2 linked regions of the Arabidopsis thaliana genome follow. The protein of the gene in region 2 interacts with the protein of the main gene of each other region in a pairwise test. Each region holds a gene or a part of one and is shown on either strand. Other genes may lie near its edges.

Region 1 (6,015 bases), on a different chromosome or scaffold from region 2:
TTAGATTACATTATTGGGCGGATCCTTAGAGTCATGGGAAAATTCGCAATTTTCGCCTTTCAAGCACGAGCCATGGACAAAGAACTTGCACAGTATCCTACAAAAAAGAAATCAAATGAATCATCGTCCCCAGAAACGAAAGAATCAATCTTTATCACCAATCAAAGAGACACAAAATTGAAGAGTTTGATGAATCGAGAAGTTGGGGGATTACGATACCTATCGGACATTTGGGGATTTGTGCGGAGAGAAGAAAAAAAAGGGTGGAAGAATGGAGAAGGAAGAGAGAGCTTTATGTGAAGAAATTGAATTTGTACGGTTTTCAATTGTTGAGGACCAAGCAGACCCCAACGTTTTTGAGATAGAGCGCGCTTCCTCCACCTCCACCACCACCTCTCTCTTTCATTTACTAAAATATCCTTTCTCTTTTCTTTTTGGCCAATTTTGTTTTATGGGGTGTGATTGGTTATGTTTATGGAAATTCGATCAGTTTTATGTGATACATAAGAAAATTCTTTGAAGCCTTCTTGGTGGAATGGAATCAAACAAGTTTTAAAACACACTTGTTACACAAAAACCACAAATCATCATACGATTCAAGTGTTACACGAGACTACTACATAATAATACAACAACACACGATACAAGACCGTCTCTCTCTCTCTCACTTTCGTCTTTTATGTACATAATATTACAAACAACAAATCAAGCATACATTCTCTCTCACACATACAAATCCTCCAAATTCACAAACTCTGTGGCACTCAAACCTACCAGACAAGTTTAAATGCTGTATCTTTCTTAATCATGTCTCACACAAACTCCACCTTCACGAGAAGCTTAACGGATTTGTACTTCTCTCCTTTCCGGCTATGTAAAGGAAATGCTCTTATTCCTTCGCTTAGCTCCCAAACCGGTAAGCATGTCTGTCCTCCAAAATCATCTTTCTCTGACATGTCATACTCATGCACTTCTAATCGTAGCAGGGCCAGCTCTGGAACGGTTAATGGGAACTCAAACACCTCATCCCAAGCTGGTATCCAATTATCCTCCAGTGTTTTCGTCTTCTTCATTACTGTATCCCCTGGAACTCCAGCTATCCCAACCTGAATATGCATCAAAAGCTCAAATTGTTATATTGCAAGCATAAGAGACAAGAAACAGTTCTATCTCAAAACATTTGTGTGAGGTTTAAGGCAGGGAATCAAAAATTGACCCTTGTATAGAAGTCAGGCGGTGAATATTGGTCAAAGTGTGTGTGGCGGAAATCAAAGTACCAGCCTTCTCCCATGTATACAGTTACCTAAGGGAAAGAATAAGTTCACTGAGTTTGATCGGATTTGAATTGGTAAAAGAAAGACCAACCAGAGAATCAGATATCTCACCCTAAGTGTTGTTTTCACAGGTAGAGTAGCTTTTGGGTCAAATATGTCACTATCCGAACCACTTTTCAGCAGAAGGTCAGGTTTCTTGATGTAGCCACATCCGCCATTGGCTCTAAACATTCCCTGCATTAGCCACAATGATCTTCCATACCCCTGTACATGGAAAAAGATCACAATCAAATCAGCTGAGGAATAAGGTTGATGTCCTGTAAAATGATGGAACATAGCTCCTCCAAAATAACTAGAAGTTTTACTACTACGTAGAAAGAAGTTGGTAATATAGCAGAAGGAGATACCTGCATATTGAAAGCCACCATTTGAGCACCGTGGCTCCAGCCAACCAACGGGTTGTAATTTGATGATGTGACTCTAGTTCCTTTTGGGTATATCCTCAGCAAATTGTGCTGAGTAAACCTGCGCCACACCATGATTAACAGGATTCATATTGAGTTGACAAACTGCAACTATTACTTAGAAACATAAAAACATAATATGACTATACCTCACAATCTGCTTCGCATATTTTTCTGCTGCCTTTTCAAGTTGTTCTTCGCTTAAGCTAAGGCGTCTAACCTTGTCAGGATCTACCTTTAAACACTCAGTAATTCCGCCTTTTGGTTTCCCAGCATGGATTGCAATCAAATGTTTATACTGGGGTGGTGCATTAATCTTAGACTTGTCTTCATCATCATCATCGTCATCATCATCATTTCCATCTAAGTCATCCTGCAACAAGAAAGAAAACTAACATGTTTGTCCATGAACAGCAACAGAACAGAATGAAAATGATTTGTCTTCGTACACACCTTAGCTTCACTTTTGTTCCTCTGAATAAAGCTCGGAACTTCTCTTCCCCAAACTTCTTCATCCCCCAAGTCTTTACCTTTCTGCACCACTTCCACATCTTTTCCTTCCTTGTACTCTTTTGGGGGTTTGGTTGAGATGATAATACGTCTTTTTAAAGAGTTTGGCGATGGGAACTCCTTCAAAGATTCTCCCACAGGAGGAGTAAACAGAATTTCCCCAAATATCTCAGTAACCATCTATCATACAACAAGAAAACACATCTCAAAACCAATGTACTCATCTATTAAAGCAGCAAAGAAAGAAATGCAAAATAAAAAGCTACCTCAGCAACTTTAGACTGAAGATCTGGAGTAAGATGATCTTCAAGAGTTACAACAACAGGATAGTCAGATACATCAAAGGCATGTGCTCTGATAGCTTTGAGACATTTGATCAACCCCACAGGTGTAGTGAGAGTCCTGTTTAAGAATGGTTCAGTAAACAAGTTAAACGCCAAGCACCTAACCTTGACTTGTTTTTCGAAATAAATTTGAAGCAAAATTATACATTCCGTGAAGAACATCAATATCGTCTTTGTTGGAATTGGGCCATATATCCAATTCAATGACTCTAACACCTTTCTTCAACGCATCAATAATAGGTACCTCACTACAGTCACTGCTCAGCTGATTACCAGTCAGATAAGAATTATGACCAGTGAATATGAAATAATGCGATATAGGAGCATCCATGTCATGATGCACCTGAAACACCACAAATTCATTAGAGATAAGTCTATAATCAATCTGAAAATAAAAGCTAGCACAATTGAGTCACAATTACATGTATAGCCGGAATTGTAAAAATATTAATTACTTGTATCATGGATTTTTGTGTCAGAGTTCCTAATAGAGTAAATGTCACATTCCTAGATATGTTACTTTCTCAACTTTTTTTTTTTTTTTGAGACATAAAAAGAAAAACAATTCTATTGCTTCAAATTCTTGAATCAGACTTATTCCACAACACCTAAAAAGTACATAGCTCCTACGACTTTCTACCAAACAGCAGCTTCGAAGTTCGAACTCTTGATTAGACTCAGTGAAACATTCAAACAAATTATTCCAAAAATCTCACTTCCTCACACCATTTCCTCAATTACCAAACAAGGAAAACGAAAAATCCCAATCCAAAATCTGAGTTTCTTATATCAATCAATCATAGTTTACTTCAGATTCTGAACTCATAAAATCGAAATAACACGAAAATTACCTTATGGAGAGCAAGAGGAGGGTTATTATCACCAAAGAGGTACTTGAAGAAAGCATCAAGATGGAGACCATTACGATGAAGAAGAGAAGATGCAGAATTGATAATTGACTGTGCATCTTCTCTGGTGGCTTTATCTTGTTTCTGAACATCGATCAGAAACCTGTGGAGATGATCAACGGTCATAACTCCATTCTCTGAGTACTTTTCGAAAATGGTCTTGATCTCACGCGGTGCCTCCGATGCAGTGTAACGAAACCTCCGGCGAAAGCAGAAACACACTTTGTACGTTTGCTTCGACATGAAGTAAAGAAAAAGACGGATCTTTGGGTAATGATTGGAGACGATGATGAAGGAATGAAGTAGGGTTTGTGTGTTATATAATCAGAACTATCTTCTCATTGTTTTTGAAATCAGACAAGCGAGATCAGAATCGTCGTTTTGCGTGTCGCATCTGCAAAGACAAAGAGATTTTTTTCCTTTCTTTCTAGTGAATCTCCTCCATGTAATGTTTAATCGATCTTGAACCTTGTCGGAAAAAGATCTTCTTTCTCTCTCTGTGCGAATATCCCCTCTGGCAAATTCTTATCCATTTGGGTTTTATTGGGCTTTTGAAATAATAAAGCCCATTAAGTTAGTTACTAGGGTTTTGTTGTTGTTTAAAGGAGGAATAAGAGCGTAAGCTACAAAATCTTTCTATTCATCTCCGCCGCTCCTCATCCTGTAAAGCTAAACAAATAATCAGAGGAACGAAGGAGACAGCTTCTGCGAAATCAGCATGAGAGCCAAGGTTAGTAATGGGTTTTGATTGTTTAATGGATTTTTTAGTGATGAGAAATTGAAGTAGTGTGTAGGATCTTTATGGTTTGTGTGTTTGTGTGTTGCAGTGGAAGAAGAAGCGTATGAGGAGATTGAAGAGGAAGAGACGAAAGATGAGACAGCGATCTAAGTAGATTCGGGAGTTTGTTTTGTCTTTCTTCTTTTTAGAACCAACTCTTATGTGAGTTTTGTTGGTTTTGCAATTTTCAATTTGAATGTTTTGTTGGACCAAATCGAATCTATGTTTTCTATTAGAATTATGTTTATTACATGGAATGATCCTTATGAGTTACTGATTCTCCTTAAAGTTCTTCAATCTGCTTATCATTTTGGTTTAATTGATTATCTATAGTTAGTGTCTGCGCTGGATGAGTTTTATCCTGGTGAAGGTTGAACTTTTGATATTAGAAATACCAAGTGAATTTGTATGTCATCTAAGTATACTAATAAAAACAAAGTATGTTGGGTTGATTGAATCTTTCTATCCAGAACGTTTTCTTAGTAATGTAGCAGAAATGTGTGTTTACGGAGGGATGCAATTTTTAGTTCATGATGTTCAGATGACTATTGGTACTTAGGTTTTTATGTGTACATGTGAAATAAACCTACCCTAAGATTTCATTATTATTTCATGAAAATGAGATTCACGTTGCATCTATGTCTTTCTGATGCTGATGAATGATGATGATTGTTCTGAGGTCAACCAAATTCTCATGAAGGATTTATTTAGTCCTTCTCGATATTAATTGTTTCATATATGAATAACAACAAGGTGAAACTGATCAACGGTTTAATAAATCGAAAGTCGAATGGAATGAAATGCTGAAGGAAAGTACAACTACAAAACTCATATGAGTAAGAGAGTTGAGTATATATACTCAAAAATGGCTTTTGACAAAAAGTTAAAAAAAAATTACTCACCTAAACCCAACAGAATATTACAACGAAAGGAGGTTATTATCCACATTATTCCCAGACAAATTCTGGTCAGACATATAAGCTAGCTAGCAGATGAACACCGCCCTAGCAAATTGGGCCGACTCTATGCGCTACTGATACTTTTCCAAATGCGGATATTAAAGCATAAGCTGGTCTGCTTTAGTAGCCGCCCATCGGTGGCATTCCATATGGTGGCATGGGAGGCATTCCTGGCATACCGCCCATTTGTGGTGGAGGACCATACCCACCACCACCTCCCATTCCTGGCATCGGTGGTGCAGGTAAAGCAAGTGGCAACATTTGGGCATACATGTTCTGTTTAAAAACAAAAGAAAAACATATTACTCCTTTAAGTGTATCTGTCAAGATAAAGAGTCGGATGATATCCAGTGTAGCTGTGTCATAAGTAGTACCTGTTGGGATATGACATCCTTCTCTTCCTGCTCTTTGGCCTTCACCTCTTTTTGTGCCTCAAGCTTGTCCTTTATTAGCTCATCCACTTTGCCAGAGTACTCTCGGATAAACTGCAAAGAAAAAACGACAGGAAGAAGAGAATTCATCATAGCGTTCAAATAATGGTTCCAACCTCATTGAGCAGAGAATCAAAAGAGTTTATTTGAGGGTTAGGATAGATCACCTGGAGGAGATACGGGAAGGCAAAGTCCATCATATTGTTGATCCAGGCAAGTTCTAGAGCCACGTCTGGTCGGATTAAGTCATAACATACAAAGAGACATGTAGCAAAGCATTCCTTTTTGCCCTGTATAACAGCAGAAGACACGGGATACTACGTTCAACGTCTGGACCAATTCTTTTC
Region 2 (5,545 bases):
TTAGGTTTCAAGAAGAGGAAAAAAACGATGGGACGGAGGTGGTGAGTGGTGGTGGTCGGAGCAGACAAAGAAGGGTCCTACAATTTGCCTAACCGTAAAGAGCCACATTCCTTTTTCTTTTACCCCATCCCGTGAGTGAACCCCACTCTTCCTCATTCTATTATTCTCAATCTATATTTTCAAAAATAAACATAAATATACAAACTCTTTGCAGCATAAAGGAATATGTTGATAAAACGGAGCTTTGTTTATGATTTTGTTTCATTATGATATATTTTTTTTAAAACATTTACCAACAATTTCTTAGAAACATAAATTAAGAGCTAACTAGTATATCTAGTATTTCTCGAAACCCAAACTCATGTTCTTAATTTTTTATTTTTTTCTGGAATGTTAATGACTATCGGATATTTGAGTATAATTGTATGAATTTGCTTGACTGTTGCATACTTTGAATCTTTCTTTCTAGTTTACAATTGTGCAAATTAAATCAAACTCGTTTTCAGTATTTTACCTTTTAGTACTATACTTAATTATGTCATCTGTATCAGGTAATAGTTAGAGGAAAGAGGAAAATGGTGTAATATAAACAACAATTATTTGTATGTGAGTTTACGACCATCATCTAGCTTAAAGTACACACCAATGAGAATATGAACACAGTTTAGCTCAACTCATATATGATCTATCCGACATCTTTTCAATGTTTTGGGTCGCGTAGGAGTATCGGAAGCAGCTTAAGACATAGCTATTTAATAAATTGTTGGTATGTTTTATTTATAACAATTATCACAAAATCAAAAGATACTAATCTCGCTGTTTGAGGCAGACATCTGAGAAAACATGTCTTCTACCAACATTCAAGATTTGACAAATCGTTGTTTACGTATTGTTATATTGAGCATCTTACAACAAAAATTTACGTGTATTTTGAAACTCGGAAATCAATCATATCTATTGATATTAACACACAGTGTTTCCTGACTATCGTCGCAGACGAATAATAATAGTAATAATCTTCCACCTCGTGTGATTCTATAATCTTATATTCTTGACATAAATGTCGTCAAAATTTGGTATACATCAAACATGGATCGTGTTTAAAGTAATCATCAAAAATCACCACACGAGAGTAGATTCCCTATTGTCAAATATAGATCAAAGAGAAAACATGTAGGCTACAAATATAACCTAGTCCCTACGAATAAGAAAAATGTCATTATACCACAAATGATAACTGCAAAGTGTGTGTAAATTTTGATTTTAAAAGAAGGTAAAAAAATAAAAAAGATAGATTTGGAAACAATCTTTTACCTCTTTGGTATTGAACATTGTGACAGTATCAATCAGTATGGTACAGAAAAAACGTCAGAGGAAAAGAATTATCAAAAAACGTACACTCTTCATTTTCATTAAAATCTTTTTTTTTTCTTCCAAAAAACAAAAGCAGAAAAAATGTGTCAGAAAGATTTATGCAGCTTTCATTCATTCATCACTTGCACTGTCTCGTGAAGAAAATTAAACTTTTTTGTATCAGAAATTAATTACATTAAAAGAAAAGAAAAAAAAAATTCCCTCCTTTCCAAGTGCGTTTGCTTTGTGGAGTCTCTCTCTTCTCTCTCTCTGTCTGTGTGTGAAGTGAGAGGATCTTTGTTTGGTTCTGCAATCATAATTTCGTGATATACTAAAAAAAATGCAATTTCCTCTTCTCTCTTATAAGCAGAGACCCTACTACTCTTTGATCGAATTTTCCTTGCTCTCTTCTCTTTGTTCTCTCATGTTTTTTTCTCCCTAAATTTATGGGCTTTGCTCTCTCTCTAAGCCACACTCACACTCTAAAGCACTCGTCTTTCTTCTTCTTTTTCTTCAGAAACAGTTATTTTGACTTGAAAAACCAGAGCTTTAATCCTGGATTCATGGCAAAAAGAGCATTACTTTTCTTTTCCTCTCTCACTTTCTTGTTTCATTTGGCTTAAAAATTCAATGATAATTTTGTATTTGGGGGAAAGAAGAAGAAGAACAAGAGTGTGTGATTGATTCAATTCTTAAAAATGACATTTTGGTGTATGTCAATTCTTCTGATTGTTGGGTTCTTATCAAAATCTGAGCTTTGTGAAGCTCAACTAAGCGATGAAGCCACATTGGTTGCGATTAATAGAGAGCTTGGAGTTCCAGGATGGAGTAGTAATGGCACTGACTATTGTACTTGGGTTGGGCTTAAGTGTGGTGTCAACAACTCTTTTGTTGAAATGCTTGATCTCTCAGGGCTTCAGCTTAGAGGTAATGTTACTCTAATCTCTGACCTCAGAAGCTTAAAGCATCTAGATCTTTCTGGTAACAACTTCAATGGACGAATTCCTACTTCTTTTGGCAACTTGTCTGAGCTTGAGTTTCTTGATTTGTCTCTGAATCGTTTTGTTGGAGCGATTCCGGTTGAGTTTGGTAAGCTTAGAGGGCTTAGAGCATTCAACATTTCTAATAACTTGCTTGTTGGAGAGATACCTGATGAGCTTAAGGTTCTAGAGAGGTTAGAGGAGTTTCAGGTCTCTGGAAATGGGTTAAATGGTTCTATACCTCACTGGGTAGGGAATCTGAGCAGTCTCAGGGTGTTTACAGCTTATGAGAATGATTTGGTGGGTGAGATACCGAATGGGTTAGGTTTGGTTTCTGAGTTGGAATTGTTGAATCTTCACTCAAACCAACTTGAGGGGAAGATTCCAAAAGGGATTTTTGAGAAAGGGAAGCTTAAAGTTTTGGTCTTGACACAGAATAGATTGACCGGTGAACTCCCTGAAGCAGTAGGAATCTGCAGCGGCCTCTCGAGCATTAGAATTGGGAATAACGAGCTTGTGGGAGTCATTCCGAGGACAATCGGGAACATTAGTGGACTTACTTACTTTGAAGCAGACAAGAACAATCTTTCAGGTGAGATTGTTGCAGAGTTCTCCAAGTGTTCTAATCTCACTCTGCTGAATCTGGCAGCTAATGGGTTCGCTGGAACCATTCCAACAGAGCTTGGTCAGCTCATTAATCTTCAAGAACTGATTCTCTCAGGTAATAGTCTCTTTGGGGAGATCCCTAAGTCGTTTCTTGGAAGTGGAAACCTAAACAAGCTTGATTTGAGTAACAACAGACTCAACGGAACCATCCCAAAGGAACTCTGCAGCATGCCAAGGCTACAGTATTTACTTCTTGATCAAAATTCCATAAGAGGAGACATACCTCATGAGATTGGAAACTGTGTGAAGCTACTTCAGCTCCAACTGGGTCGAAATTACTTGACGGGAACCATTCCTCCTGAGATTGGTCGCATGAGGAATTTGCAGATAGCACTCAACTTAAGTTTCAACCATCTTCATGGATCATTGCCTCCCGAGTTAGGAAAACTCGACAAGCTCGTGTCATTGGATGTCTCTAACAATTTGCTCACAGGATCCATACCGCCACTACTAAAAGGTATGATGAGTTTGATCGAGGTTAATTTCTCAAACAACCTTTTGAATGGTCCAGTGCCAGTCTTTGTTCCCTTTCAAAAGTCTCCAAATTCGAGCTTTTTGGGAAACAAAGAGCTTTGTGGAGCACCATTGAGCTCTTCTTGTGGATATTCTGAAGATCTTGACCATTTGAGATATAATCACAGAGTCTCCTACAGAATTGTGCTCGCAGTGATTGGTTCTGGTGTAGCTGTCTTTGTATCAGTCACTGTGGTTGTTCTTCTCTTCATGATGAGGGAGAAACAAGAGAAAGCAGCGGCTAAAAATGTTGATGTTGAAGAAAATGTTGAGGATGAGCAACCAGCAATTATCGCGGGAAATGTCTTCCTTGAAAATCTTAAACAAGGAATTGATCTTGATGCAGTTGTGAAAGCAACTATGAAGGAGTCAAATAAACTCAGTACGGGAACTTTCAGTTCAGTTTATAAAGCCGTTATGCCTTCGGGGATGATTGTTTCGGTGAAGAAACTCAAGTCTATGGATAGAGCCATATCTCATCATCAGAACAAGATGATCAGAGAACTCGAAAGACTCAGCAAACTTTGCCATGACCATTTGGTTAGACCGATAGGGTTTGTTATATACGAAGACGTTGCTCTCTTGTTGCATCAGCATTTACCTAATGGTAACTTAACTCAGCTGATTCATGAGTCCACCAAGAAACCAGAGTACCAACCTGACTGGCCAATGAGACTGTCCATAGCTGTTGGAGCAGCAGAAGGTTTAGCATTTCTCCACCAAGTCGCCATCATTCACCTCGACGTTTCCTCTAGCAACGTCTTGCTAGACTCTGGTTACAAAGCCGTGCTTGGGGAAATCGAAATATCGAAACTTCTAGATCCCTCTAGAGGCACCGCGAGTATTAGCTCAGTTGCAGGCTCTTTTGGCTACATTCCACCAGGTATAAAGTCTTAATTTTGTTACCAGTAACTTTATACAAAATCCAACACTTTCCCTTGGTTTATTTCTGCAGAGTATGCATACACAATGCAAGTTACAGCTCCGGGGAATGTTTACAGTTATGGAGTTGTGTTGCTTGAGATTCTAACCTCAAGAGCGCCGGTGGAGGAAGAGTTTGGTGAAGGAGTAGATTTGGTGAAATGGGTCCATGGAGCTTCAGCGAGAGGAGAAACACCGGAACAGATACTCGATGCCAAGCTTAGCACCGTGTCTTTTGCTTGGAGGAGAGAGATGCTTGCAGCTCTGAAAGTTGCATTGCTTTGCACAGACATCACACCTGCAAAAAGGCCAAAGATGAAGAAAGTAGTTGAAATGCTTCAAGAGGTTAAGCAAATCAAATGAGCAAATGAATATATAGTTTCCTCTTGTGACATTCATATACAAAAGAAAACGCATTCCTATATATGCGAGCTTCTCCTCTGTGTATTATATAGGTTTTTATGATAAAATTGATCCGCTTATGGTTGATTTACTTATCCAATGACACAAATTATAAATTAGATCATAGAAGAACCAATGTACATCTTGAGGGAAACTGTTCAACAAAGCATCTGTTGTAGAATCTTAAGATTACAATACCATGTGAAAACCAGATGGCCTCTTTCAATTTTTTACACATCACACCAAAAAGAAACAAGAATTGGACAAAAGAATAAGTGAAAAGAGAAGATAGGAGTAAAAACCTAGGAGGAATGATCTAATTATAGCACGACGGAGATAATTCCGATTTATGATGCTAAAGAATCTATAAAAACGTAACCCAAGACTTTGAAAACCAAGCAAACCTATTTTTGTTATGTTTTGTTTGAGTTCTTGACTGGAATTCAAAGCCAAACATGGTTTGGATCCTGCCGATGATCAACAGCCAGCAGCTTTAAGGAAGTTGTCGTAAGGGCTTGAGGCTGGTAGTCTAAATGCTTGTGGGTTATTTTGTAGTTCTGCATAGCACGGTGACTGAATAGTTCCCACTGGTGTTCTTGGCGATTTCATGTCGAATTCTTTCGACAGTAAAGGGACTTCGACCTAAACAAATTTCAGTAATCAATACAAAAATGGTTAAACAGTTATCTTGGAATATGAAACCGGAGGCT

What was found. The genes of interacting proteins can lie anywhere in the genome.
Region 1: the proteins of AT2G41820 (region 2) and PLC2 interact in a protein complementation assay, tested with the Arabidopsis thaliana proteins (one large-scale study listed by BioGRID).

What each region holds. Positions count from the first base shown.
Region 1 is NC_003074.8:2,581,814-2,587,828, forward strand, and holds PLC2 (phospholipase C 2), read right to left. Parts: upstream 4,086-6,015; 5' UTR 3,744-4,085; coding exon 3,444-3,743; intron 2,936-3,443; coding exon 2,739-2,935; intron 2,651-2,738; coding exon 2,515-2,650; intron 2,429-2,514; coding exon 2,192-2,428; intron 2,112-2,191; coding exon 1,888-2,111; intron 1,800-1,887; coding exon 1,682-1,799; intron 1,539-1,681; coding exon 1,386-1,538; intron 1,304-1,385; coding exon 1,217-1,303; intron 1,107-1,216; coding exon 813-1,106; 3' UTR 549-812; downstream 1-548. Other genes in the region: AT3G08505 (zinc finger (CCCH-type/C3HC4-type RING finger) family protein), read right to left, coding at 10-97, 220-230; AT3G08520 (Ribosomal protein L41 family), read left to right, coding at 4,219-4,230, 4,328-4,393; AT3G08530 (Clathrin, heavy chain), read right to left, coding at 5,358-5,513, 5,612-5,722, 5,836-5,958. UniProt on the Arabidopsis thaliana protein: The production of the second messenger molecules diacylglycerol (DAG) and inositol 1,4,5-trisphosphate (IP3) is mediated by activated phosphatidylinositol-specific phospholipase C enzymes.
Region 2 is NC_003071.7:17,445,119-17,450,663, forward strand, and holds AT2G41820 (Leucine-rich repeat protein kinase family protein), read left to right. Parts: upstream 1-1,625; 5' UTR 1,626-2,051; coding exon 2,052-4,395; intron 4,396-4,467; coding exon 4,468-4,796; 3' UTR 4,797-4,990; downstream 4,991-5,545. Other genes in the region: AT2G41830 (Uncharacterized protein), read right to left, coding at 5,313-5,477. UniProt on the Arabidopsis thaliana protein: Leucine-rich repeat receptor-like protein kinase that may play a role in vascular tissues development.